Linked DNA regions of Cricetulus griseus. The protein of the gene in region 5 binds, or shares a complex with, the protein of the main gene of each other region. Links are inferred from orthologs where the notes say so. Each region holds a gene or a part of one and is shown on either strand. Other genes may lie near its edges. The genes, in order: Stx4, Vamp7, Stx7, Bnip1, Stx18, Vti1b and Stx5.

Region 1 (3,959 bases), on a different chromosome or scaffold from region 5:
TATGTGCCTTCATCTGTGGTATCCAAGGAGGTGGAGGGCCTCTTCCTAGAGCTGGAGTTACAGATGGTTGTGAGCCACCTGACATAGGTCACAGCTGGGAACAGCTGAATTCAGTTCCTCTGCAAAAGTGGTGTGTGCTAAGCCATCTCTCCAGTCCCTACATCATACGTTAATATATGTCTTTACTGTGTATGCACGGGGCAGGGCATGTGTGCCATGGCACATGTGTAGAAATCAGAGGACAACTCCCAGGAGTCAGTTCTCTGCACCCCATGGACCTGGGGCTGAATTGGGTTATAAAGCTTAGAAGCAGACACCTTTACCCACTGATCCGTCTTGCAGCCCCTCGCCATCTCTTAAATTCTATCTATGGGGCCAAGGATGTCCTTGCTTGTCATTTTAACTTACATTTATTTATCATTTATTTATTTATTTTTGGTTATTCAAGACAGGGTTTCTCTGTAGATCAGGCTGGCCTCGAACTCAGAGATCCGCCTGCCTCTGCCTTCACACTTGGCTCTTATTATTATTCTTTGATTTATGTGCATTGGTGTTTTACCTACATGTATGTCTATGTGAGAGTGTTAGATCCCCTGGAACTGGAGTTACAGATGGTTGTGAGCTGCCATGTGGGTGCTGGAAATTAAATCTGGGGCCTCTGGAAGAGCAACCAGTGCTCTTAATTACCATTTTTTATTTCTCTCTCTTCTTCCCTGAACAAAGCTATTAGTGACCAAGTCCTACATGAGAAATATCTTTGTTCCCTTTTCAGTCCAAATTCCCCATTTCAGTTTTGGGAAAATATGTCTCTCATAGCCAGGACAGAGTCATGTCTGACATAGCAAATTCTCTTTGAATGGCGGTGGCATGGTGTTATAATGGATTGAGAATTTTGTGACTGGGATCCTCTACCTAGACCAAATAAGCATAAAGGAAATTCATCAGGACAGAGATCCCAGATTCAACGGTCTGTAAGGGTTGCCCAGTCACCAGTTAGTAATCTAAGAAACACTTGATGAAATGTCCTAGTTCTAGGAAAATGAAACCAACCTGGGTTTTTTTCATTCTTGTGTTGACTGAGTTATAATTCTCATCAGCTTCTTCCTTCTGAGGCTCTATGGCTGTGGGAGAAATACGAGGGTTGATGGAAAGAAAAGCTTGCCCTGAGACTTCTAAAAATTGGCTGGGAGGCTAACTGATTTCTGTCTGGGCTAGCCTGATCTACCTACTGAGTCTCAAAAAATAATTAAAAAATTGAAAATACATAATAAAAAATTTTAAATGAATCAAAAAAAATTGTTTGGGTACCAGAATACAGGGCCACATCTACATTCCAGCCACATAATAAGGAAGTTCTTGTCTTCGTAGGATTTTTTTTTACAAAGTGACTTATGAGCAGGGATATATTTTAGTAGTGACACATGATGGAGGAGGAAGGGGGAGGAGGAGGAAAAAAGAAGGAACTAGGAGGAAGAAGAAAGAAGGAAGAAGGGGGTGAGATCAGCCAACTGGACCTGGTTACGGCAGGCCTTTAATCTCAGCATTCAAAAGGCAGGGAAAGATGGATCTCTGTGAATTTGAGGCCAGCCTGGTCTACATAGGAGGAAGAGGTGAGGGAGGGGGAGGAGGAGGCTAATTCTGATCTTCTAAGAGAAGTTTTTCTTTGTATTACATCAGTGGGTTCCCACAAGAGTGAAGGAGCCTCCTAAGAAACCCTCATCCATCTGCTCAAAGAACACACACTGGGCTTCAAGAACTGTAGCAGCAAGTAGTTTTGAATTTAGATGTAAAAATAGTAATAAAGGAATCTGAGAGGCCAGCATGTAATATATGCAAAGTACCAAGGCTTAGATGCCACAGGGCAGAGATCCTAGACCCAGACCTGCTCTGTGACCTGATATATCACTTGACTCCCCAGATACACGAGCATCAGGGCTGAATCACTGGGGATGATCTGGCTGAGGCCCTTGAAGTTCATTCACCTTTTAGCTGTGCCCGGACCTCTCTCCCCAGCTGTTTGATCTCCTCGCGCAGGTTCTGCAGGCCCTGCTTCATGCCTAAATGAGAGAAGGCCAACACTTCCAAACCACAGCCTCCACCACAAACCAAAACCAACCCCACCCCCGGCCAACATCTATATAGGACTACATCCCCCATAATCCACCGGGCTGGCGTACGTGAACCCGGGTTTCGCTTACTCTCCTCGGGAAGGGGCGTGGCCAGAATGGTGACCTGCTGTTTCTCCAACTCCCGGACTTTACTCTCCAGTTTGGCCATAGTTTGCCGAATTGCCTGGACCTAGAGAGGATCACCAAGGGAACTGAAGACATAAGTGGTACTGTAGTCCTCCCTACTGCTCGGTCCTCCGGGCCTTACCTTCTGGAAGAACTCGTCATCTGGGCTGCCCAGCCGGGCGGTACCTGGGTGCACCACCAGCGCGACTCGAGCCTCATCTTCGTCGTCCGAGCTGTTGTCCCCCTGCCAGGGCCGGAGTCATTGGCACCACTCGCTCGCCGCGGTTCTCGCCCCGCAGGAGCTATGGGCTTCCGGGATTTTCCTTCCTGGCCGTCAGCCACCCCTCCCGGACCCCAAACCAGGAGTCCTCAGTCCTGCGCGCCCGCCGGGCCCCAGCTCCTCACCTGCCTCAGCTCATGGGTCCTGTCGCGCATGGCGGCCCGAGCGCCCGGTCCCTGGACCTGAGCCCCGAGGGCCTCAAGGTTCTAAGTTTGGAAGTCCTGCACGAGCTCTCTCTCACTTGACACCCCCTTCCTCACCCTGCGAACCCCCAACGCCCCCACGAGCCCCCAGAGGTCCCGCCCCTTTCACCATGCACAGTCGCCGGGGAGAACCCGACCATAGGACCCCCAAAGTTCTACAGGTTGGAATTCCCTTCTCTTCCCCCCATCCTGCTCCCGCAGCCGCAGCCCCGCCCCTCGGGAGGATGACTCGGAGCATGCGCACGAGGTCTTGTCTCTTCCTCGCTAGGGGGAAAAGGCGGAGGTCGGAAGCAGTCGCGGCCGAACGGAAGCGAGGCCGCCTGGATCGAGAGCCCGTCCGCCCCCCCCCCCTTTCTACCGGAACATCTCATATTGGGACTGGAATCTAGTTGCCCAAAGGGTTGGGGATGCGTCATTTGCACGCAGTCTGAGAGCCTCGTATCTCACATCACCCCATGGCGCCCCCTCATCACGTGACAGACCTGGCCCCGCTCCGCCGGCTGCACGCCCGACAGCCGGTCACGTGTCCCGGCGCTGTCAGCGACGTCTCGGACTTCAGTCTCGCGACGTCCCCGATACCCCTGAGTCTGAGCTGTACCCCTTGCAGAAGGTGGGGAGGGGTACACCGACAGCTCTCAGCCACCTACAGAGGAGACCCTTGTAGACTTCACTTTCTGTTTTAATTTGGGGCCCTAGGGCGTGGGCGATCTGAAGACTTAAATTTGGGGGCTGTCAGTATCACGAGACCTTGAGAGTCAGAACATAATGAGATCGGAGGCTACAGCGTCAGAGGATTGCAGGGTTTTGTAGGCAGACAATCTGGGGGTGGGAAGTGACCTCAGCCAAGGTGGAACTCTTCCCCCTACACACCCTGCGTCCTCCTGGCACAGCCTCTGACAGGTGGGCGGCCTACGCCCTGTGTGAGCACTGCAGTCCCGCTGAGCTCGCCACCTTCAGATTTCAGAGCAGCTCAGACTGAGAGGAATGTATTGTTACCTCCGCAGCCCTGAAGTCCTAGCATGACTTGCTTTTCTTTTACGGAGTCCCCAGCACCAAATTCAGAGCTTGCTACATAATAGGCCCTCACAGCCTTGATCCGAATAGGAGCCTTTCATGTATCTGAAACTAAAGCCTGTGGCTTCTCTCACCGTCCCATTTCCCCAGGTTTGTCTCTCTGGACATATTTATTGGGCACATACTATAGAGCAGATATGTTTTAGGGGCTGGTGACACATCAGAAGC
Region 2 (4,030 bases), on a different chromosome or scaffold from region 5:
AAGTGACATAAAGATGACATTACAGTTTAATGAAACAATCTCATCCTGAAAATTTATCTTAGAGAACAGTTTAAGAGAAACTAGACTCTAGACTCACAATTATAATAATAACAACAACCCATATTAAGTATTCACCTTGTAACAGACACCAGTTTAAGTACTATGATGAGACTTTAAATCATGTTGGGTAGCAGAATGTGTCACTTGACACAATCACTTAAAATCAAATTTTTAAGACCGAGCTCAAATTCTGAAAACTATATTTAAATAATCTGGCCTAGATGAGCCTATAAGAAAATATTTCATATAACCATATTTGATTAGATGAAGTAGAAAACTATTAAGTGGTTGGGTTCAGGGAATTTGCTGAGCCCTGATTAGAATATCAGCACTGAAGGACAGTACATAGAGCAAAAAGGCATTCATCTATCATTTAAGCTGAACTTCTAGTAGTATCTTGTCTTCATTCTTACTGCCTAAATAAATTTGTTCCCTAGAGTTATGTCTTCAGTAGTCTGCGTTCCAGAAGCCTCTGAACAAATATGTATAATTATAATTTCCAAACCAGTGTCTCATATTTTTATCTCTCTTTATCTAAAAGACTCCCTTGACCATGTATCACCACTCTGCAGTTATAATTCTATTTCTTAGACTTTTGTCTATATATTATCTTTGCTTCTCTGTCTCCTTTTAACTCCTTAATTTACTATATGCTGGCTTTTGCCCTTAAAAATGCAAAATATAATGCTTCCTAAAATCACTAACAGTCTCCCTCTATGATATAAAATAATGATCATTTTTCTATTATCACCTTACTTAATTTCAAGAGCCATCAACATGCTAACTGATTCTCATTCTTGAAACTTTCCTATGTATTTGGCTTCTCTAGCTTTCTTCTTGATGACTTTTCCTCCCCTAACTCATCACTAAATAGTAAATTCCCCAAGGAATTGATTCTATATCCTTTATCAAAGATGAGCTCATGTGGATTTGACATTTAAAATATAATTTATAAAAGATACACTGTGTATAAAAGAATAGGGTCAGTGATAAACCCAAGACATAACCAATAATTAAGGGGAAGATTAAAAACCCAAGACATAATCAGCTTAAGGGAATCATAATATAAAGGGAGACAGACATAAATAAATACAATAAGGTGTAGAGAATGAATAAACTAGGAATGACTACAATTGTTTAAACTGTTCAAAATAAGATTATGCAATTATGTGATGCTAATCTTGAATAAAAGAATGACTATGTATGTATCATAATTTTCCTCAGTATACTGTTAACATTTCTCCTTAAAAGATAAGTCAGATTGTTTGTTTTACCCTATCTTCCCAATTCTCAGCACAATACCTAGCACAGAATATTTATCAAACAGTTAAGTGAACACTGGGTACACTTATAATATTATACCTAGAGATAACTTTATATTCTATAGAAACTGGCAAGAAGAGTATTTTTTTTTACTACCAAACTCTCTCCCTAATTCAGGTAAGACAGTTGATTGATAATAATCCAATCACCAATTGTTTATTCTGAGACATTAGCAAGAAATAAATCAATGGCAGATAAACCACGATTTGTGGTTTATTACAATTTGTTGGATAACCTTGGAACGGGTAGCAAAGGAAGAACACTATCAAGGAAGACAATTAAAAAGAAGGGGTGTTGATGAAGAGTCAGGTTACAGATCAAGATTACTCTTGTTGCTATTACAAGCATTGTTTCTCAAAAATGATCTGAAGTCCAACTCAATCCCTCTCACTTTTTCAGGACAGGATTTTATTCTGTCAAGCAAACTACCTTTAAAATTTTGCATTAACAAACATAAACCACCATACTGATGTATTATTCCTCTCATCCCTGTCCCCCAAACATGTAAGTTTCTGGATTAGTCACCTCCTATGTCTTTTTACTATCAATGTATCTCATGCACTTAAAGGAGTATCTAGTGTGTGTTCATTCTTTAATAACTATATATTAAATATATTGCTTCCAGCCATAGCTATTCAAAGGGAAAGAATTTTTTAAAGAGAATGGTGATGCATGTCATAAAGTGCGATTAATAAAATCCCAAGAAAAAGACTTGATAATTCATTTGCTATGAGAGTCAGAGCCATATTAACCAAAGAGTAAAGTATATGATCAATTTGGTAAATATTGGCCATCAATAAAAATAACAGTAACACGCTCAAACAATAGGCTTGAGTGGAGATCTACTGCCTACTAGAACTGAGAAAGGAATGTCAATACTGCTAAGGGTGTGTGGAGGATAGGAATTTACAATAAGCATGAACAGAAGGAGAACAAGAAACAGAAAGTGATGTCGGTGAACATGGGTGAAAGAGCTTTTTGGCTATAGAAAAGTCTGCAGAACGCGAATGAGAGAAAAATAATATTTCCTACCCTGTAATTACAACTTAAACGAAGCGTTCTGACACTAACCGAGACCTCTTTAGCTGAGTAAAACATGCTTTGCCAAAACTGAACCTGCTCAACAATTAGAACTGTAGACAAAATAAAAATTCAAGTCACACTTGCCCTGCCTTTTACTCCACCCTGGCACCTTCCAGTTTACACTTCCGCTCTCTCTCCGAATTGTCTCCTCACCTCCCGCAAAATGCCCCACTCCCTTTACCTGTCAAGGTACCCTCTAGCGGGCACTCCCGCTCGGGCCAAGGTGCGCAGGTCTTCCCAGTGTCGCCCACTGCCGGAAACCAGAGAAGGATGGGACTTGACACCCAAGCTTCCGTGCAAAGCGCCCCGCCTATATGTGGCCTCCTGGGAACGTGAGCTCTCCTCCAATGGGAGTGGGCTAGAGGGCGGGATCCCAGACGTTCCCTACCCTCCGCACTTCCCAGGGCCCATACTGCACTCTGGGAGTAGTAGTTCCGACTATAATGTCACCACGTCTTCCTTAGTCCGGTCAACAGCTCCTAAAACAAAATCTAATGCTGTACCATTTAATACCAGAAAACCAGAGAATGCAAGCCAACACAAGTAGTCTACCGGTATAATCAGCAGGATAAATGAGGAGCTGAGCTTCCCCCGCCATTTCCCAGCTGATTATCAGGGATGATGTCGCCTGTTCATAGACAAAACAGAATTTCTCTGACAGGAACCCCTTGTCCCTTCGTTATGAAAAAAAAAATTAACTTCCTTGTGTTACTCACCAATCATTTTCCCCATGCTTTGGCCGCAAAAATAACAGCAGCAGCAGCAGCAACAACAACAGTAATCAGCAGCAGCTACTTTCCTGTGGTTTGAATCTGCTATACTACTATATCCTTTTACTTCTTTGATGAACACTTCTTTCTCATTACCACCTCCACCTCCGCAGCTACCCGTACAAGCTCCCAGTTTCCTGTCTCTTTGTTACCTTCACTTAGAGACCCTGGAGTTTTCTCTTTTGAAAAACATTCGAAAGTCACCCTTTTCAATCCCATACTTCCAGCCTCCTCACCACACACTTGAGTGTGGTTCTCCAAACTCTCCATTTAATACAAAGTTCTCAATGTTGCTAAAAAGTACTTTTCAGCCATTGCTATAATTCAACTCTGCAAAATACATATTCTGAATTTTATCTCTTTTAAAACCTTTGTTTCCTAAAATCTAGTCTTCAAAAGATACTACCGTCACAGGTTTGCTTCCCACCTCTATGCCAGCTCATTTACTTTCGGAGTTTACATGTTGCTTAGACCTCTGGCCTGCACTTTGTTTTCTTAACCTTCACACTTCTTGGTTATATCAGCTATCCCCATTGCATTGCTGGCATTCATATCTTGATGATTCTCATTTACACAGTGAAAGGATTCAGGCATTATGCTGGTCTGCTCCTGTCACCTGGCAGAATGCACTCAGGCAGTACTCTGGTCAGCCCAGAGTCCATGAGTACTAGTCTGCAAAGGACCCCTTTAAAAGACAGATCCCAGGCCGGGTTGGTGGTGCATGCCTTTAATCCCAGCACTCTGGAGGCAGAGGCAGGCGGATCTCTGTGAGTTCGAGGCCAGCCTGGTCTCCA
Region 3 (4,073 bases), on a different chromosome or scaffold from region 5:
ACGACATTCAAAAGACAAGAGTTGGCCCTTCTGATAAAATACAAATAAGAGGGACAATGCTATCTTTGCTATTAAAAAAACATACAAGTACATAGTTATCGATAAATGACTTAAAAGTTTATGACTTTTACAACTAAGCTAATTAATTCTATGTTTATACAATGTTTGTGCTCTGTAACCATCCCCAGTACCTAGCTTGAACTGCGAGACACTAAAGTATTCTTTTTATAAACCCATTTGGAATTCCTAGTGCCTTTGCAAAAAATAATTATATAACTCATCACCTGTACCTGCGCTGCCGGTAGAGTAGCTACCATTGACATGGACTATTAAAGTGAATTAAGTTACATGGCAGCCACCCAAGTCACCTTTCAAGTGCTCAGAAATTATATGCGGCCAGTGGCCAGCAGCTTGGACAGCTCACATATTCATTTCTATCGCCCCAGAAAGTTCTACTGGACAGCGTTCAACTCAACATCTTAGTAATTATCTTTTTATGAAGATATATAAGCACTATAAGGTGAAAGAGGAGACCGGAGATCAAAGTGCAACGCCCACAATGAGATCTGTCTTAAGACTGTGTCTAAAGAACAAAAAAGAAATGAACAGAGAAATTTTTGCTACAGAATATTGAATGTAAACTACTGCCCTGGAGATACTGCTGAATCCTTAAGACTTCCACTAAGTATAAACTGGTGTGAAATTCAGCCTGCTCAAAACAAATGGTCAGTTTCACTTTCTTAATCGTGCACACCATGGTAATACACTGGACTTCCTTCTCCCTTGTCTCCCACGGTTTTTATTTGTGTGTCTAGTGCTGTACTAGGTGGAGTGTAAATTGTGGACCTGTTCTATTCTCTAGTACATGGCTACAAAATAGGTCAGGAATCAATGTTTGTAGTGGGAATGAACAGGTTTACCAATTTCCTAAGAACACATACCCAGCCTGAGAGAAAATATTAACATTTCTAAAACACTAAATGACAGGTGTATTGCTGCTTTGGCTTTTCTGGGTGCCATTTTCCTATCTCTAGAAGGCCCCCCCCCACGGTGCTCACGTGAGCACCAGCTCCTTTTCTCAGCAAGCTGTTATCACATGCTAGAAACGCCAGAGGTGAAATGAGAAGTCACTGCTATTGCTCTCTGTCAATGTACCTTCTGCTTCAAACCATTTATAGTACTTAAAAGACCCAAAGATCCACAATGCTTATTTTCAGTCCCTAACACAAACAAGAGAGGGAACAATCATCGGACATAATCAATGGAAGTGAGGGCCTCCACCTTCCATCCGTTCCACAAGCTACCAAAGCACACTTCAGCCCAGCTCCTTCATCAGTTAAACTATTATGTTACACTATTTGGATTTAACTTACTTTACCAAGGATTTCCCACCATGGTTTTACCCATTAGTATTTCAAGTTACACTGAACCACAGCAAAATCCACTCAGACTTAACTGTAGGTGTTCCGTCTAATAATAATAGTAGACACAGCAATAATATTTTGCAATGCTGAGAACTGAACCAGGGTCTCGTGCACACTAAGCAAGCACTCCACCACTGAACTATGTATAGCTAATAATCGTGATCGTTAATAATTTCCAACCAGCAGCACTTGGACGAACTTGGGCTCATAATCAAAATTAGAAATGACTGCTAATCAGGAAGAATATAAGAAGTAAACTACCTGAAGGAAAAACGACGCAGACGAGTTAATACAGTGTCACATTAACTTCCCCAGACACTGGGAAACTACAGTCTAATTCTTAACTAGTCACAAGCCTGGGGCCAACTTCGGAAGCGGCAAAGCCAAAGGCTTTCACATGACAAGACACAATTTAACAGTTTTATCAGTCTCTGCCCAGTGCAGCTCAGAGTGCACATAAAAAAAAAAAAAAAAAAAAAAAAAAAAAAAAAAGCCTATATCCAACAGGACCAAATCGAACAGTGTTTCGCGGTTACTTCCTTTTTTTTTTTTTCTTTTTTCCTGATTGTGGACCACCTATAAATGACAATTATTGCCAGAATACAAGATCTGAAGTGTGTGTGTGTGTGTGTGAGAGAGAGAGAGAGATAAAATCCGAGACAGAGAGAGGTATATAAAATCCAAGCATATTACAAAATCTGAAGGGAAAATTAGCATTTGACTAGGAGGCTATCTCCCTCTCCACCCTTACCCAAGCTTTGTTGTTGTTGTTGTTGTTCTGAACTTAACCTAAAAAACACAGATGCGAATTCTTGAAATACTTTTGTTAAGGGTCTTGGGGGTAAATCAGTTAAAGCCATGCACAATTAAGGTCAAAGAAAGTTAGCTTGTGGAAGTCACCGCCAGCAGCACAGCAAACTCAAGGGGCCGCAGAAATAACCTGTGGCCAGATGACCAGGGCCCAGGGCTCTGACTTTTCTGTTCTGGAAGGGAAGTTGACAGAGAATGAGGAGCTGGCGATGGGATCGGCGCCCAAGGCTGACAGGCAGCCGGGGTTCCCTGCCGCGCACCCGCCCGGGAGTGCAAGCTCGTCGCGTCCCCGAGTCCGCGGCGGGGCGTGGGCGCCTCTTCTCGCCGGCCCCGCGCCCCCGGGGAGCCCGACTCTGCCGGCTCCCAAACACAGCCACCGCGGGCTGAGCTTCTGGGGCGCCCCTCCCGGACCCCCCGGCTCTGCAGCCTCCTCTTACCCTAACCCCATCGGCTTCCTTCTCCTTCTCCTTCTCCTTCTCCTGCAGCCGCTGTCACCCAGGGGCCCACAGCCCTCCGCAGCTAGCTTCAGCTGATGGGCGGTGGTGCAAGCCCGCCCACTGCGCATGCTCGGGGTACAGCCCAGGGAAGAAGGAGGCGGGGTTCGCTTCTCTCCCATTGGCCAATAACAGCTAAAGCTTGAAGGGACTAGCAAAATTGCTACGGAGCAATGCCTTGAAGCCTGACACACTGATGGTGAATGTCTACGTGCAAGAGAAGAAGGGATACAGGAGAGCTGTCTTCTTCACTCGGTGGCGCCATGCTCCCTGGACTCATACCCCATCAGCTCCTGCCAGTCCTGTTTCCTAACCCTCAACTCTGCAGTCGACTTTATTAACAACCTCATTTTAAAATGACACACACACACACACACACACACACACACACACACACACACACACACACACACACACACACACACACACAAGGTCAAGGCAATTCTGGCTGAATCCACGAAAGAACAAATGAAGAATCGCCTCTGGGTGCTCACTTGGTAAAGATGTTTTCTTAGCTCACGATCGTCCTCGCATCCTCGAAATACAGGAAGCAGTTTTCCCAGGCTTTAAGAGCACAGAATGTTCCAACAATGAGCATCAGTGGCTCGGGTGAAAGACATTCTTTGCAAAATTAAGACGGTGTTATTTTCTGAAAAGAGCATGAAAACATGTGATACCAAAGTACACAAGAGAGAGAGAGAGAGAGAGAGAGAGAGAGAGAGAGAGAGAGAGAGAGAGAGAGTTGAAGGGAATCCAGAATACTTCGAACCAGAACCACAGAGAAAAGTACGTTGGTTGGTTTTACACATGCAAGCATACATAGATGATTTAGGTCAGACTGATGCGCTCGTCTTCCAAGCAGGATCCACACAGTGAAGTGAGTACCCTGGTCAAAGGACAAACACCCAGTGAAAGCAATGTGATTCAGCTAGAGCCACTGTGAACTTTTGAGTTTGCTTTATTTTGTCAGGTACTGAAGATTGAACCAAGGACCCTGCACACGGAAAACAAAGGCCTTAACTGTGTCCTGTATCCCCAGCCTTTTGTTTGTGAAACAGGATCTTCATAGGCTGCCCAAACTAATCTTGATCTCACTCTATAGCACAGTCAGGCCTTGGACTTTCAACCCTGCCTTGTCCTTCTGAGCAGCTGGAACTAGAGGCCTGTGTCATTTGCCCAGGTTGTTTGAGGTTTTGTTTTCAGGTGCTAGAAACCAAACCCAAGGCCTCAAATTTTGGAAACATGATCCACCACAGAGCTATACCCGTAGTCCCCACTGTGAACTATTAGAAATATTAGCCCAATATAGTGACATTATATGTTTTTCATGATACGGAGGAAATTC
Region 4 (3,500 bases), on a different chromosome or scaffold from region 5:
CAGTAATGGTCTTGTCAGTGGTCCTAATTCCCAAACCTGTCTGGCAATACTAAGCCCACAAGCCAATGCTTAAAAACCAGACTCCTGAACCCCTTGCAAGCATCGATGACAGACCCCATCTCCAGAGAGACTGCCATTCCTGCTTTTCACATGAGCCTAGCAATGCTTCCTCAGGGGAGCACTGATGGCAGGAGGCATGTCAGCACAGCTGCATAGCTGGAGGAGACAAAGAGCAGCATCTACCCACCATCCTGTCCCCCCCCCCCCAAAGGACCAAACTGCCTTGCCATGTCCTGAGGCACAGTTTGGGTGTGCGCTCTGGAGCAGCTTCTCTCCTTACCTAGAGTCTGCATAGCCTCTTCACTCTGCTGCACCTGCTGTGACATCATCCTGCTGATCCCCATGAGGCTCTCTGTGATGGTGCTAGATGTCTGTGCCAAACTCTCTTTGGTAGTTTTCCTGAAAGTTCAGAGGAAGGAGCAATAACTACAAATCCTAGCTTGTAAAAAGCACCATCTTAACCTATCACATCAGTGCTCTTTCTGTTTGTGCTTTGAGATGGGGGTCTCACAATGTAGCTCAGCCTGGCCAAGAGGGCAGAATGTCCTCGTCTCAGTCCACCCCCCACCAGTGAGTGCTAGGATTACAGGTATGTACCACATAGCCAGCTAGCATATATTCCTTTCTTCTTCTTCTTCTTCTTCTTTTTTTTTTCAAGATAGGGTCTCACTATGTAGCCCTGGATGTCCTGGAACTGGCCCTGTAGACCAGGCTGGACTTGCTCACAAGGATCCACCTGCCTCTGCCTCCCAAATGCTGGGATTAAAGGCATGGGCTATTACTGCCAGCTTGCACATTCCTAAACCATCAGTGTGGCTAAGGATGTATGCTGAGCCCACGTTCTCAAGCCCTGCTGGGAGGAATGGAAACCATGCTGCTGTCTGTAAACCAATTTGCACTAAGTACAAAGAGATTAGAAATGTTCATTCACTCCCAGAGAACTTATTGAAGGAACTGGATGAAAACCTGCATTGATGCAGCATACGATACTGAAAAGGCAGAAATGCCAACACACCAACAGGACTGGTTAATAACATAGATATTATGCATGCACAGTTAAAAGAAGAGTCTTAAAAATTGTCAGGGAGGACTGGGAGTTAGCTCAGTGGTGGAGCATTTGCCCTTCATGCATGAGACCCCAGATTCAACTCCTACTACTACAAAAAACAAAACAAAAACAACAACAACAAAAAAAAATCGAGCAAACAAAATCCCAAAATCAAAAACCAATTTTAGTCAAATTTAGTCTGGGTTGGGGATGATTGGTTGATAGAGTGCTTGCCTAGTATGCACGAAGCCCTTGGGTAGGTCTCCAGAACCGCATAAACTTGGTGTGGAGATGCACACCTGTGAGATCTGAAGTTCAAGGCTATCCTCAGCTACACAGCAAGTTTGAACCAGATGGGGATGTATGACACCCAGTCGCAAAAAAAGAAAAAAAAAATACTTATGCATTAACATAAAGTACAAATGTTATGAAAACAAAAGGCCACCTCACATGGCGCTTAGATGTGTTATCAGAGCCCAAAGGGACAAAAGGAAGATACCTTTGCCTTAAGAGGTCTCCTCCCTGCATAAGTTCTGCTTTTTCCAGGTTGTCAATGGCAATTTTGCAGGTAAGATTGGCTTTCCGCCATGAGGTCTGGTTGCTGGAAGAAGAAGGGTCACACATGAGGTTCTGGTGTCACCACCAGGTTGCTTGGCCTAACCAGTCCACTCTCCCAGGTATGACTCAGAGTTCAACCTCATCCCTCTCCACTTCCTCTTCTTGGTAGCCCTGGTAACTACTTTAGCATAGGTTCTAATATCTCTCCTTTGAACCTCTGGAAAATGTTTCCAGAATGGTCTGTCACTATCCCTCTTCTGCTAGGCAGTTGGGAGACCAGGGAAATGGCACTCTACTAGACACAGACCCACAATGGCTTTATTGCCTGACAAGTGTCTTTGAGAACCATGACCTAGCATTCCTCCTCCATACCTAGTACTGGAACCATCACTTATACCTCTTGCAGTGGCTGTTAGAGTGGTTAAAATCCCAAAAGCCAACATTCCTCAACATTCCTCCAAGGCTTGCTATTTTTGTCTATTTGACACCAGTCACAGACACTACAAATATCACAGGGCACCCTGACTGGTGTGATTTATTCACATTCTTCACCTGCTCCTTTGTAAATGATGTCTCAAGTATAAGCAACACGAGATCAGCAATCCATTTTTCACTGACAAACAAGAAAAGCCAACCATATCCCTCTGACAATCAAATCCATGCTTTGGAACTCTCACACAGCAGCTCAAATCAACTGAGCTAAGCTCCAGACACACAAAATACTAGAACAGAGTGCTTAACTAATAGGGTAAATTTCTTTAAATTAAAAAAAAAAAAAGTATGTGTCTATGATTGGGGTGGGGGAGCATTCCGCAACACATGTGTGGAGGTCAGAGGACAATTTTGTGGAGCTGACTTTCTCCTTCCACCTTTTTTTTTTTCTTTTTCTTTTCTTTCTTAAGACAGGGCTTCTCTGTGTAGCCCTGGCTGTCCTGGAACTCCACTGTGTAGACCAGGCTTGGCCTTGAACTCAGAGATCCTCCTGCCTCTGTTTCCCAAGTGCTAGGATTAAAGGCACTCTTCAGCTGGGCTCTCAGATGCTGAACAGCACCTCCCAGCCCATTCCACACCTGCCATTTCAAACAGTTAACATCTTCAAACTGTACACAACAGTGTTCTGCAAGGCTCAGGGTTGCAGAGCTGAGCTCCTGGTCTTCAAGGAGCTCACATTTATTAGGGAGGAAAGTAAGCAAATACTATACAGCTTGGCAAACCTGGTAACCTGATAAACATATCTGCTGCTTCAACATGAATTTCCTGTTTTCTTTCCTCAGACCTTTAAAACCACACCAGGAATAGGAAAACAGGAAAAATGTTTTGTTTTAAGCCCACACTAAACTGACAGTGTTTGGTGCAATTTACCACACCACACACACACACAAACTCCCTGTGAGTTCATGCTTACAATCTGAGAACCTCTGGTGGCACAAAAAGCCATGGCCAATGAGCCAGGCACACTTGCACTACTCACTCCCATGTCTTTGTCAGTCACTCTTAACAGCTGAGTGTTATTCACACAGCTGCTGTTAGTAAGCCTGCAGCTGGAGAATAACTCAACTCAGAAATGAAACCACAAACAGTTGTGACAAGGAAAATGTATGGGAATTCTGACATAGCAGATACTACTGAAATGGCCTTGAACATCATGAGGCTGGGAAAGGTGTGTTTGTAATGACCCTTTTGGACTATAGGACAAAAGTACAACCTGAAGGGAGAAACAGTGATTCATGTTGCCAGAAAAAAAGTTATATTCCCTGGTTTAGAGACTAAGAAATGGCACATACTGCTTTATAATCAAAGACTAGCACACAACTGCAATGTCACCAAAATCTCA
Region 5 (3,500 bases):
TCTAAAAGAAAAGCAGCATGAATTTCCTCCTTTGTACTGATGGCAGAGAACACTTAACAAAGAATGTGAGGGGGCTGTATAGCTGTGGATCACAGCAGTGGTTTTTGGTGTGTGTTGACCTGGGCAGAAGAAGGGCTTGATGCTCCTTTTAGGAAGTTGTCTTCATGACACACAGCCCATGCAAACAGATCTCTGGACACAAAGTGTTTCTTCAGTCCAACAATAGACTACATTGTCAGAGTAAGCTTTACTAGGACCACCAAGAATTCTGAATACCTTCAGAAAGACTTTCAACTGCAGGATCTGTGGTGGGGGACATGCTAGTAACACAACTTTAAGATACACTGATGAACTCGGCAGCTTCTGTGGAGTGATGCCTTTTGACCTTGTTTTGTAGCCTGCTATAATCTTTAGCCATCAGTTTTCATTCTTCTCAGATCTCCCTCAGACAGAGAATGCCCCCAAAAGTTTCCACTCATAAGAACCCCAGAAAAGTGAAGGGTTCAAATAATGGCCTGAATCCTGCAAATCTCAGAGCTAAGTCAGCTGGAAAGCACAAACAAAAGCCAACACTCACTGCACAGTATGGAAGGTACTTCTGCCCTAGCAGACAAGTCTCAGGCTAGTCTTGATTCTCAGAGGGCTACCTAAAGCCTCTTCTGGACGGAGAAAGAAAAAAAAAGGTCAATGACACACAAACTGCTTTTCTGGAGAGAACATGTTTCTGATTAGCCCAGATGATTTATTTCACCAGAGTGTGTGATGGCCATTTCAGCTTTAATCACCCCCAAATACCAGAGATCTAAGGAGACCAAGAGGAAAAGAGGTGGATTTCATATCCTCTGGGGATGTGTGATAGAGCCACTTGTGCCAATGCTTCATCCAATATTGTCCCACGTATTTCTAGTTTGTAAGCTTTTACTCTGCAACTCTATGAGCAAGAGTAAGTGACCATGCCCCATTTGAAGTCTCCTTCAGTCAGGAACCAACTACTTTATAGCAGGCTTTGATCAATGCACTGATCAGAAAGTCAGAAGATGCTGGTCTCTACCTCCAAACTTATAGGAAAAAGAGCAGAGAGATGTGATGCCCAGGGTAGTTATCCCTCTCTGGCTTGAGGCAACATGCGGCAGGTACCACTACTGTCAGCTCACAAAGCAAAATGCCATCAGGGTACATGAAAATAGGTATTTTTAATAATGCACCATCATTTACAGACAACATAGTCACTGTAGGAAAGTGTAGAGCAGTCAGCTGGGAATACTTCTGGCATAATGAGCAAAATATTTTCAGCAGTTTGAAATAAGAGCCCTTTGGTATGGTAGATAGATGTGACATCACTCTACAAGAACAAAAGCAACTACATAATACCATCCACACTTTTAAGATATTACAGTGAGCAATTACAGTGAGCAAGCTGCACTTTAACAAGTGTGTTTTCCTTCACCAGATAAAGGTGATAGTGACAACAATGCCACAGAACATGAGCAGCTAGACTCATAAAAACTTCTTAACTACAGCCATCAGCAACCCAAACAGAAACAGCCCACCAATGACAATTGCACACTCTACCCACTGGCATCCCCAAAGGACAGGCATTGTGTGATGGGCTGAGGTGTGTGAGGAGACATAAGTCAATAGTGACTGCATGAGTGTGTGTGTTGCACCTGGCCATGAACAACACATGAGGAGCCTACTAAGAAGGGGGACACAACACTGTTGGCAGCAGCTGGAACACTTCACAGGACAGGTGGTGTTTCAGTTGGGCTGGAAGGATGAGTATGGATTTTGTCCACCAGATGAACAGAGCAGGCTATGTGAAAGGTTCTATGGATGGAGAATTCAACAAGAACTGGGGACAAGAAAGGCAAAGCTCCTTTAGAACAAAGTCACACAGAGGCAGGCAGAGCAGATGTCACTGGTGATTGATTTAGAAACAAAAGCTATAATATAGTCACTATAGTTTTGAATTTGACATATTTAGCCTTTGTGATACCTGTGCATAAGGGAGGCAGGCATAAGATTATGTATGAAACTATACATAATAAACATGTATTGTATATAAAGGTGAAGAAAGACTAGAAAGAAGTCAGGGTGGTAACACATGCCTGCAGTTCCACAATCCCACCATCTGGGAGGCAGAGGCAGTATGATCAGAACTCAAGGCCTGCCTGAGAAATACAAGCCTAAGAAGAGAGGTCTGGGTCACACTGTGAAGAGTTACAGTTATTCTGAGGTCTCCAAGGTCTCCTGTTTAGGGTAATTGTGGAGAACAGCTATTTGGCAGGTGATTGATTCCATACAATTCCCATTTGACTGACATCAGTGGAAACTTCTGCTTAGAACCAAGGCTGTGTGTCTCTTAGTGTGATAGCACAGCAGACACAGCTGCTTCTCCTCTGGGGGGAAGGGGGGCTGTGAGAGCCAGTGACTGCTCTCCTTACCATACTGATAAGCTAAAGTTACAACACCAGAGTCGGACCTGCTCCCCTGGATCCTCCCTGGACAAACTGCAGCCATCATGCTTAAATGGGTATTGGAGTGGGGTAGGAGTCAGTGCACATGACATCTTGAATATATTATGTCATATTGTCAGTGACACAGGGGAGCATTCATCACCACGAAAACCCCTTTTCAGAAAAACTCTTTCAGAGAAGGAGGTATGGGGGGAGGACAAAGACCAAGGTCAATAGCTCTAAGTGTCCCACCTTACAGGATTATTAAGAAATGGGGTGAGAAGTTGGGTAGGTGACACACATCTATAACCACCTCACTCTGAATACTGAAGCAGAAAAAAATATGGGTTCAAGACCAGTTTGGGCTGCATAATGACTTTGAAGCCAGCATGTACTACATAGCCAGATTGACTCCCTGCTACTCCCAACAAAAAAAAAAAAAATAAAAAGAAATTACGTAAGTGCTCAATACCAGTTCAGCTGCCACGAGACTGTGGGGTCACATGAGCTTAAAACCTGCTGAACCACAGTGTTTATCTGGAAATGAGAGAACCTGCCTCATGGGCTGCTGTGGCTAACCGAGTGACCAGCACACTTGGTACATAGTATGTCTTCAGCTGCTATGACAGCATTTGGTGAAGACTTCATGCACAGAGGCCCACAGTGTCAGGGCGTGAGGAGCTCAGGCTGCCATTCTTGTTGCCCCTGTTTTAACTGAGGAAGGAAGAGCAAAGGTAGAAATACTCACAGTCTCTTCTTATCCACCACACGCTTAACTCGGATGGCTCTTTGTTCAGAGTAAAGCTTACATACTCCTGTTGAAGCAGAAAATACCAGAACAGAGAGCATTTAAAATGGCTTCTCAGGCAAAGGTATCATTAACACTAATGAGACACTATGGTCTTCAGCTAGCAAAGCTCTATTCTAAATTGCATCTCTTATGAAATGCCACATTTGACCTTTAGAAGAAAATGAAATACTTTTTAAGTAATCTTCAACGAAATCCAAAACCGCGGTCCTGTGTTCCTTCACTTGCTGGGAATG
Region 6 (2,812 bases), on a different chromosome or scaffold from region 5:
TTAATCCTTGCTTGAGTGGTTACACTTAATGGAGAAAGGATTAGTCCCAATGTGCCTTTCTCATTTGATTACCTGTTACTAATCTAGTTAGCAGAAGGAAATTTCAATGATGTTCCTTGCTGTATCTCAGATCAATCTTTGGTGTGTTAAGTTCAACCAATCTACAAAGTATACTCAAGACCCAAAACTTAGACAATCTGTTAGCAATTTGCCTTCATAGCTTACATTGGGATTAGCAATTTATTGTGAATTTGCACAAAATAACAAAATGGGGGAATCGCTTTAATAAGATGTACAAGAATTTCTTCAAATCCTGCCAATGAGCTAGTACTTTTCCTATCCAAATCCTGGCTACAAAGTTTTCAGTTAAGATTTGCCTTAGGACAAATATTAATGTAACATTCAACAGGCAAACCATTTTTTATTCTTTAAATTTGTTGTAAACAAACACATTTACTTAAAGGAAAAAGGAATTTCTCAAATCCTCTTACAATCATAGTAGAGCAGAGAACCCTAATATGGTCATCAGTTAACCCACATATTTTTGCTTTCTTCCCTCAATAGACCAACTTACCTTAGGCTAATGGGATTGAAATATAATTTATAAGCCAATAAACTATCAGTAGTACTATTTCTGACATATGGGAAAACCTTTCCGTTTAATAACTGTCTTGTAAGTAGATAGTATTTTCCTAAGAATAGAAAAAAAAAAAAAAAAAAGGGCTGGAGAGGTGGTTCAATGGTTAAGAGCACTTCTGCTTATTCAGAGGACCCCAGTTTGATTGACAGGACCTGCATGGCAGCTCAAAACCATCTAACTCCAGTTCCAGGGAATCTGATGTCCTCTTCTTGCCTCCTTAGGCACCAGGCCTATGTGGTACAGAGACATATATACAGGCAAAATACCTATACACATTTTTTAAGAATAGAAAAATATGCCACTACATCTGAAATTACAATATGTTGATGACCCTGTAATGAATAAAGCAAGAGAGGGGGAGTGGCACAAATCAGATTCTTCAGAAATAAAACTAACGATTTCTAAATCTCACGGACAAAATTTCTTTTATGGTCTAGCATAGAGGCACACAACTTTAATCCTAGGAGGTAGGAAGATCAGTGAATTCCAGACCAGCAGCCAGGCTTAAACGAGACCCAGTTACAAATATATATACACATATGCACATTTTGTGTGTGTGTGGTATGTGCACATCTGTGGGAATGGAGGCGCCTTCCTTGGTTGCTCTCCACCTTACTAAGAAAGGCTCTTTCAATTAAACTTAGTCACACTGGCTGATCCAACAGTTTCTAATACTTATCCCCCAACTCTGGGGCTACAGATATATGAGCTGCTTTTATTGCATGACCCATCTCTATGGCCCATGGGAAATTATAAGGGGGGATTTCTTAGCCAAGCAATTTAAAAATTAAGTATAGTATTAGGCGGGGTATTCCCAAAATTCAGGCCTCCTGTAGTATCTGGCCTTTATATGGAGGACCCACATACTTCACACATTGCCCAGACTTACTCTATTCTTGGTACGTTCCAACTGGTCTCGCTGCTCCCCCAACTCTTCTATGATTTCTGTACCAATCTGGTCAGTTTCTGTGGCAATCCGATGAGAACGCTCAATGCTTTGGGTGGCCCGGTTCAGGCTTTCCGTGCCTTGTAGGAGCAATGCTCTTTGAGACTGTAGCCGATTCTGACAGGAGTAGGGAAGGGACATGTGAAACTTGTTTATTCCATTATAAATTTATTGTCAATATATTCTTTATGACCACCTTCTTGTGCAAAAGCAATATAGTGAGCAATCATTTCATTATGGTTTTTCCTTTATACCTGCAAGATACTGGTTCTAGGCCAATCTTTTTGAAGTCCCATATGTAAAATAGTATAGTATTTGCATATTAACATAGACATCCTCCCAATACATTAAATCATCTTTAGATTAATTATGCCTAATAAAAGGTAAATGCTATGTAAAGTTATTTTTGGCTCAAGAGAATCATGGCCAGATAAAAGTCAGATGTCCGGCATATAAGAGAGTTTTCAAAGATCTGTATGTGTGTACCAGGGTGCCATGGATGCTAGAAAACGGCACTGGCGCGCTCAACTAGAATTTTTTTGAGACAGGGTCTCACTGTGCAGTCCTGGCTGACCTGGAACTCACTATGTAGACCAGGCTGGTAGAATCAATATTTTTAATTTAATCCAAGGCTCAATATCCAGCTGCAGCAGGCACAAAGAGCTGGTCAGCTGTGCTTTTAAAATAGAATCAAAGATACTAATGAATTATAAGATCCTGTTCAAGGTCACAGACTACAGAGGCACATCCCACTGCCTGTTATACTTCTGTGACACAGAAGAGATTTAAAAAACAAATGAAATACCACTGGAGCATTTTCCCTGTGGACAAGTTGAAATCTATCATAAACATGGACTGGTTCGTTACTAGCAACTTCAGTCAGCACCCAAACTGGGCAACAGGATACAAAAATCACCTGATAATGCAAACAGCCTGCAACTTTAAAACTATTTGCTTAAATATATATATGTATATATTTTGAGACAGTCTTACTGTAATTCAAGCTGGCCTCAAACTCATGACCCTCTCAGCTCGACCTCCAAGTTCATGTCATTATGCCTGGCTACCCTTTAACTTCAATAGTGCCACAAGTAAACTAGCCTCTACAACTCTGGAAATGATTAGTTCGCTGAAGATGGGCTTGGCTGGTACTAAGGGCTTAGGGACCATATAAAGCATTCTTTCTTGGCAGAGACATTGCCACATTCTTATATTAAACAAAAAGC
Region 7 (4,060 bases), on a different chromosome or scaffold from region 5:
ATAGACCAGGGCTGTCTCTCTACTGTAACCTAATTTCCCTGAGGGATGCTCTACCCTGTATAGCCTTATTGCTGAGGGTGAGGGACTCCAGAACACAACTGCACTGGTTTCTAGGTCAAAGTAGTGGTGTCCAGAGAAATTATTTTTCTGCCAATCTCTTTCCTTGTCCCTGATTCCTGAGTTTCTTTCTCACTCATCAGGATGAGCCCCAAGAACCTCAAGAGCCCAACATGGTACCCCCAGAAGACACAGAGACAGATGAACTTTGGGCATCTTTGGAGGCAAATGCCAAGCGGAAGCTCCCTGATTTAAATCAGATACAAGGGACTCTCCAAACAAGAAAAAAAAAGAAGCGGCCTGGATCCTCCAGTCCTTGAAGACTTTTGCTATTTTGTTAATAAACAGCCCAACACACACAGAGACCCTGAACCTTTTGTGATGGGAGAAAGGAGAGGTGGCTTGTGGGTGGGAGGGGTTCCCTCACCCGGGCTGTGGGAGACCTGACGTCACAAAAGCTGGGTCCAGAGCTAAGCAGGCTGGGGAGGGTGGCAGAGTCCTGCGCCTCTCGGGGCCATGGGCTGCTGTCAAGACAAGGACCATCAGACCTCTGATGAGCATGCAAGGGAGGAAGTGACCGACGAAGGTAGGCAAGGTAGGCCCAGATTCAAAAAAGGGTCAGGGAGCTGGATTGGGAATGGGAGTGGGAGGTGCCCAGAATGGACGGCCTAAAGAGACTGGACTAGAGAGGAGAACTGAACTAAGTGGCCTCGTGGCCCTTGCAGACAACGAAGTCAATTTGGACAACGCAGGCCGCCGCAAACAAAGATCTAACGAAAGTCTTCTGATCACCGTGCTGTGGCGCAGGCTATCCATGTTCAGCCGTCGGGGGTCCTCACGGTCAAGCAAGAGGCTCTCAGACCTGACTCAAAAGCAGGAGAGTCAGATCCAGGAGCGCAAACGTGAGGGAAGCCACAAGGAACCAGAAAAGGGCTGACTCCAATCCTGCTCTCGTCCTCCCCAACATCCAGAGAATAAAATTAATATTGTGGATCTGCCGAAAACATGCCTCTGCCTCCACATCTGTAGGCGCCGAGGCGCTGGCTCTTTAAGACTCCTCTGGCCCAGCCCTCTGGGATCTGTTTCTGCTCTTCAGGGGCGGGGCCACAGCGGCAGTTTAACCAATAGGAGAGCGGAGTCGAGCATGCAAGGGCAGAGGTGTGTTCTTCCTGTCTCTGGGCTTAAAAAAATAGGCGTGGCGCGGCATCACGTCACGGGGGTGGGGTTACGTGTGGGTGACGTGGCGGCTCCTGCTCTTTGCTCCGATTTGGGTGGCTTACAAGTCCAGCGAGGAGGCGGCGACGGCCTGGAGAGAGTGGCAGTGGCGGCGGCGGTAGGCAACAGAGGAGGTAGGGCTTCGTTGGGGTAGGGGGCCAGTTTCTGTCGGTCGTCTCAGCTCGGGGGCAGCGGCTTGACGGTGGGGGAGGGGGGAGAAGGGAGCCATGGGCAAGCCCTGCTGGCGGCTCCGCGTAAGCGAATACCTTGCTGTCCAATCAGGAAAGGCCTTGTTGAGAAAGACGCCGGCCCTGTCCAATCAGTGGCTGCAGTCTTCCAACAGGCGGAACTTTGATGGAGGTGGGACTTCCTGTTTCAAATAAACACTTAAAGAGGTTTTCCCCCCCTCCGCCCACCGAAGTGTGTCCACCTTTGGAGGTCGGTTGCCGTTTTTCCGTGAGGGAGTTAAGGAAGTCACGTATACCAGAGGGCACGATTAAGATCTGGGCCAACTGCAAAGGTCTGGCTGGAGGCTCAGGGCCGCAGGACCAGGCTTTGGCTGTTTTCTCGACTTTAGGGCCCCAGCCGGTGCTTTGGCCGTCAGAGCCAAGTTGGAAGGAGATTCTGAGGAGGCTTCGCCTTGGGCCTGGAGGAAGCTGACCCTTCTCGCCGTGGCCGGGCTGCAAGATCTACGGGTGGCCTTGGGCTCGAAAGCCTGTCAAATACGGGAAAGGGCCTGAGGATTTGCTAGTTGAGGGGAAAGCTTTGGGGAACGAGGCTGTCTGGAGAATGACATTCTCCTCTCCACAGCAGTCCGAGGTTATGCGACTCGATGATCCCGCGGAAACGCTACGGATCTAAGAACACAGATCAGGGTGTCTACCTGGGTCTCTCAAAGACACAGGTTCTGTCCCCTGCAACTGCTGTCAGTAGCAGCAGCGACATCACTCCTTTGCCCACCCCGGTGGCCCTGGTCCCTTCCCCTCCCGACACCATGTCCTGCCGGGATCGGACCCAGGAGTTCCTGTCTGCCTGTAAGTCGCTGCAGAGCCGTCAGGTAAGGACCTGGAGTGGAAAGGCAGGTGTGAGCCTAATTAATGCTTACGTTTTGTCTGCTAGTTGTCTAAATTTACTTTACAACAAAGATTAGCGAATCTTACCAATAGGAGTGGAGGAATTGTCTTCAGCAGGGATTAAGAAAAGATTAAATACCACGAACGATGAGTCAAGATTTAAACCTACATATAATTTTTTTTTCTTAGCTATAAACCACTGATAAATTTAGATTGTCTGATGCCAACAGCACTGGAGTGTTTAGTGGATATGTGAGGGAGCAGTGAAAAGCTGAGCATGAATAGTGAAGAGAACTAAAGTATCCACTTTTTGACATTACCTTTCAGAATGGAATCCAAACAAATAAACCAGCTCTACGGGCTGCCAGACAACGCAGTGAATTTACCCTTATGGCCAAGTGAGTTAAGAGAGTCTTTGGGGGGGGGTGGTAATACAATGTCTAGGAAGTTAATTTGCCTGTGTTGGTTAGGCTGAATGGGATTGGTTGTGTTGGAGCTTATGGGAATTAGCCTCTTTCCTGCCCTTTACCACAGCCTTCTCACTGATGATCATTTGCAGGCGCATTGGAAAAGATCTCAGCAATACATTTGCCAAGCTGGAGAAGCTAACAATCTGTGAGTGTTTGGTAGATCTTTCCTAGATGGGACAGTGAAACATAGTACTAGGAAGTGAGGATCGTGCAGTTTTTGTTTTATTTTCTCCTATGGTGCTGGGGATTTTAAACTAGGACTTTGTGCATTAAAGCAAGTGCCTCTACCACTGAACTGTATTCTTAGCCCTTTGAGCCTTGTTATTACCATCACCTGTTGTAACACTTCATCTGTCTCTGCAGTGGCAAAGCGCAAGTCCCTCTTTGATGATAAAGCAGTAGAAATTGAGGAGCTAACATACATCATCAAACAGGTGAGCTGCTAGCCATCAGGAGAGCCCAGCATTCTAATTAGATTACTTCCATCATTTTCCATCGCCATGAATCCCCAGGGTAAGTATCTAGACCCATGTCCAAACACCCTGCTCCTCCACTGAGTCCATAGACACTTAGGATCATCTAGCATTTGTAAAGTACTGTTCTGTATGCTGATGGAACAAATGAGAAGCAAGATTATTGTCTTTAAGGGTTCATTCTTCTTAAGAGTTACCCAGCATCAGGAGCCTAGGCTTAAAATGAGTAAGTGATAGTATAGAAAAGATTTTACAAAAAGATGAATGAAATAGTATGCTGGGAAAGATTGACAGAGGATATGAAATCTGAACTGGATTCGGAGGTTATATAGAGGAAATAGAAGGACTTACCAGTCTGAGGAGTTTATTTACAGAGGTGTTGATTAGAAAAGGGGGAAGGTCAGCTGAGAGTAGTGATGAACACCTTTAATCCCAGCACTCTGGAGGCAAAGGCAGGCAGATCTCTGAGTTCTAGGCCAGCCTGGTCCACAGAGTGAGCTCCAGGACAGCCAGAGTTGTAAGTTTATTCTCTATAATTACCTTACGTTTGTTTGATTTCATTCCCTGTATCCTTTCTACTTTTCTAAAAGAGAAGGAAAAAACAAAGGGGCAGGGCAAAAGATTTGCAGATACCTCAGGAGCAGGTTCTTTGTTTTGGTTTCAAGACTCTAGATATATAGCCCAGTCTGGTATTTTTGTTTAAGTCAGGGTTTCTCTGTATATCCCTGGCTGTTCTGGAACTTGCTGTATAGACTAGGTTAGTCTTGAACTT

Evidence for each region.
Region 1: Stx18 (region 5) and Stx4 share a complex: the UniProt entries of both Homo sapiens proteins name them as parts of the SNARE complex. The link is inferred for Cricetulus griseus from reciprocal best matches to the Homo sapiens genes STX18 and STX4.
Region 2: Stx18 (region 5) and Vamp7 share a complex: the UniProt entries of both Homo sapiens proteins name them as parts of the SNARE complex. The link is inferred for Cricetulus griseus from reciprocal best matches to the Homo sapiens genes STX18 and VAMP7.
Region 3: Stx18 (region 5) and Stx7 share a complex: the UniProt entries of both Homo sapiens proteins name them as parts of the SNARE complex. The link is inferred for Cricetulus griseus from reciprocal best matches to the Homo sapiens genes STX18 and STX7.
Region 4: Stx18 (region 5) and Bnip1 share a complex: the UniProt entries of both Homo sapiens proteins name them as parts of the SNARE complex. The link is inferred for Cricetulus griseus from reciprocal best matches to the Homo sapiens genes STX18 and BNIP1.
Region 6: Stx18 (region 5) and Vti1b share a complex: the UniProt entries of both Homo sapiens proteins name them as parts of the SNARE complex. The link is inferred for Cricetulus griseus from reciprocal best matches to the Homo sapiens genes STX18 and VTI1B.
Region 7: Stx18 (region 5) and Stx5 share a complex: the UniProt entries of both Homo sapiens proteins name them as parts of the SNARE complex. The link is inferred for Cricetulus griseus from reciprocal best matches to the Homo sapiens genes STX18 and STX5.

The regions. Positions count from the first base shown.
Region 1 is NC_048596.1:72,932,671-72,936,629, forward strand, and holds the start of Stx4 (syntaxin-4), read right to left. Parts: upstream 2,801-3,959; 5' UTR 2,670-2,800; coding exon 2,640-2,669; intron 2,479-2,639; coding exon 2,377-2,478; intron 2,321-2,376; exon of another isoform or gene 2,299-2,320; coding exon 2,199-2,298; intron 2,058-2,198; coding exon 1,983-2,057; intron 1,122-1,982; coding exon 1,051-1,121; intron 1-1,050. UniProt on the Homo sapiens protein: Plasma membrane t-SNARE that mediates docking of transport vesicles. Necessary for the translocation of SLC2A4 from intracellular vesicles to the plasma membrane.
Region 2 is NC_048604.1:56,004-60,033, forward strand, and holds the start of Vamp7 (vesicle-associated membrane protein 7), read right to left. Parts: upstream 2,801-4,030; 5' UTR 2,648-2,800; intron 1-2,647. UniProt on the Homo sapiens protein: Involved in the targeting and/or fusion of transport vesicles to their target membrane during transport of proteins from the early endosome to the lysosome. Required for heterotypic fusion of late endosomes with lysosomes and homotypic lysosomal fusion.
Region 3 is NC_048595.1:243,359,580-243,363,652, reverse strand, and holds the start of Stx7 (syntaxin-7), read right to left. Parts: upstream 2,801-4,073; 5' UTR 2,672-2,800; intron 1-2,671. UniProt on the Homo sapiens protein: May be involved in protein trafficking from the plasma membrane to the early endosome (EE) as well as in homotypic fusion of endocytic organelles. Mediates the endocytic trafficking from early endosomes to late endosomes and lysosomes.
Region 4 is NC_048600.1:47,012,878-47,016,377, forward strand, and holds part of Bnip1 (vesicle transport protein SEC20), read right to left. Parts: intron 1,710-3,500; coding exon 1,608-1,709; intron 460-1,607; coding exon 341-459; intron 1-340. UniProt on the Homo sapiens protein: As part of a SNARE complex may be involved in endoplasmic reticulum membranes fusion and be required for the maintenance of endoplasmic reticulum organization. Also plays a role in apoptosis.
Region 5 is NW_023276807.1:107,058,155-107,061,654, reverse strand, and holds part of Stx18 (syntaxin-18), read right to left. Parts: coding exon 3,437-3,500; intron 3,272-3,436; coding exon 3,205-3,271; intron 1-3,204. UniProt on the Homo sapiens protein: Syntaxin that may be involved in targeting and fusion of Golgi-derived retrograde transport vesicles with the ER.
Region 6 is NC_048598.1:124,471,015-124,473,826, reverse strand, and holds part of Vti1b (vesicle transport through interaction with t-SNAREs homolog 1B), read right to left. Parts: intron 1,704-2,812; coding exon 1,530-1,703; intron 1-1,529. UniProt on the Homo sapiens protein: V-SNARE that mediates vesicle transport pathways through interactions with t-SNAREs on the target membrane. These interactions are proposed to mediate aspects of the specificity of vesicle trafficking and to promote fusion of the lipid bilayers.
Region 7 is NC_048596.1:51,355,579-51,359,638, reverse strand, and holds the start of Stx5 (syntaxin-5), read left to right. Parts: upstream 1-1,260; 5' UTR 1,261-1,406; intron 1,407-1,573; exon of another isoform or gene 1,574-2,082; 5' UTR 2,083-2,104; coding exon 2,105-2,329; intron 2,330-2,672; coding exon 2,673-2,743; intron 2,744-2,904; coding exon 2,905-2,960; intron 2,961-3,178; coding exon 3,179-3,249; intron 3,250-4,060. Other genes in the region: Wdr74 (WD repeat-containing protein 74), read left to right, coding at 201-377; testis-expressed protein 54-like, read left to right, coding at 574-652, 783-994. UniProt on the Homo sapiens protein: Mediates endoplasmic reticulum to Golgi transport.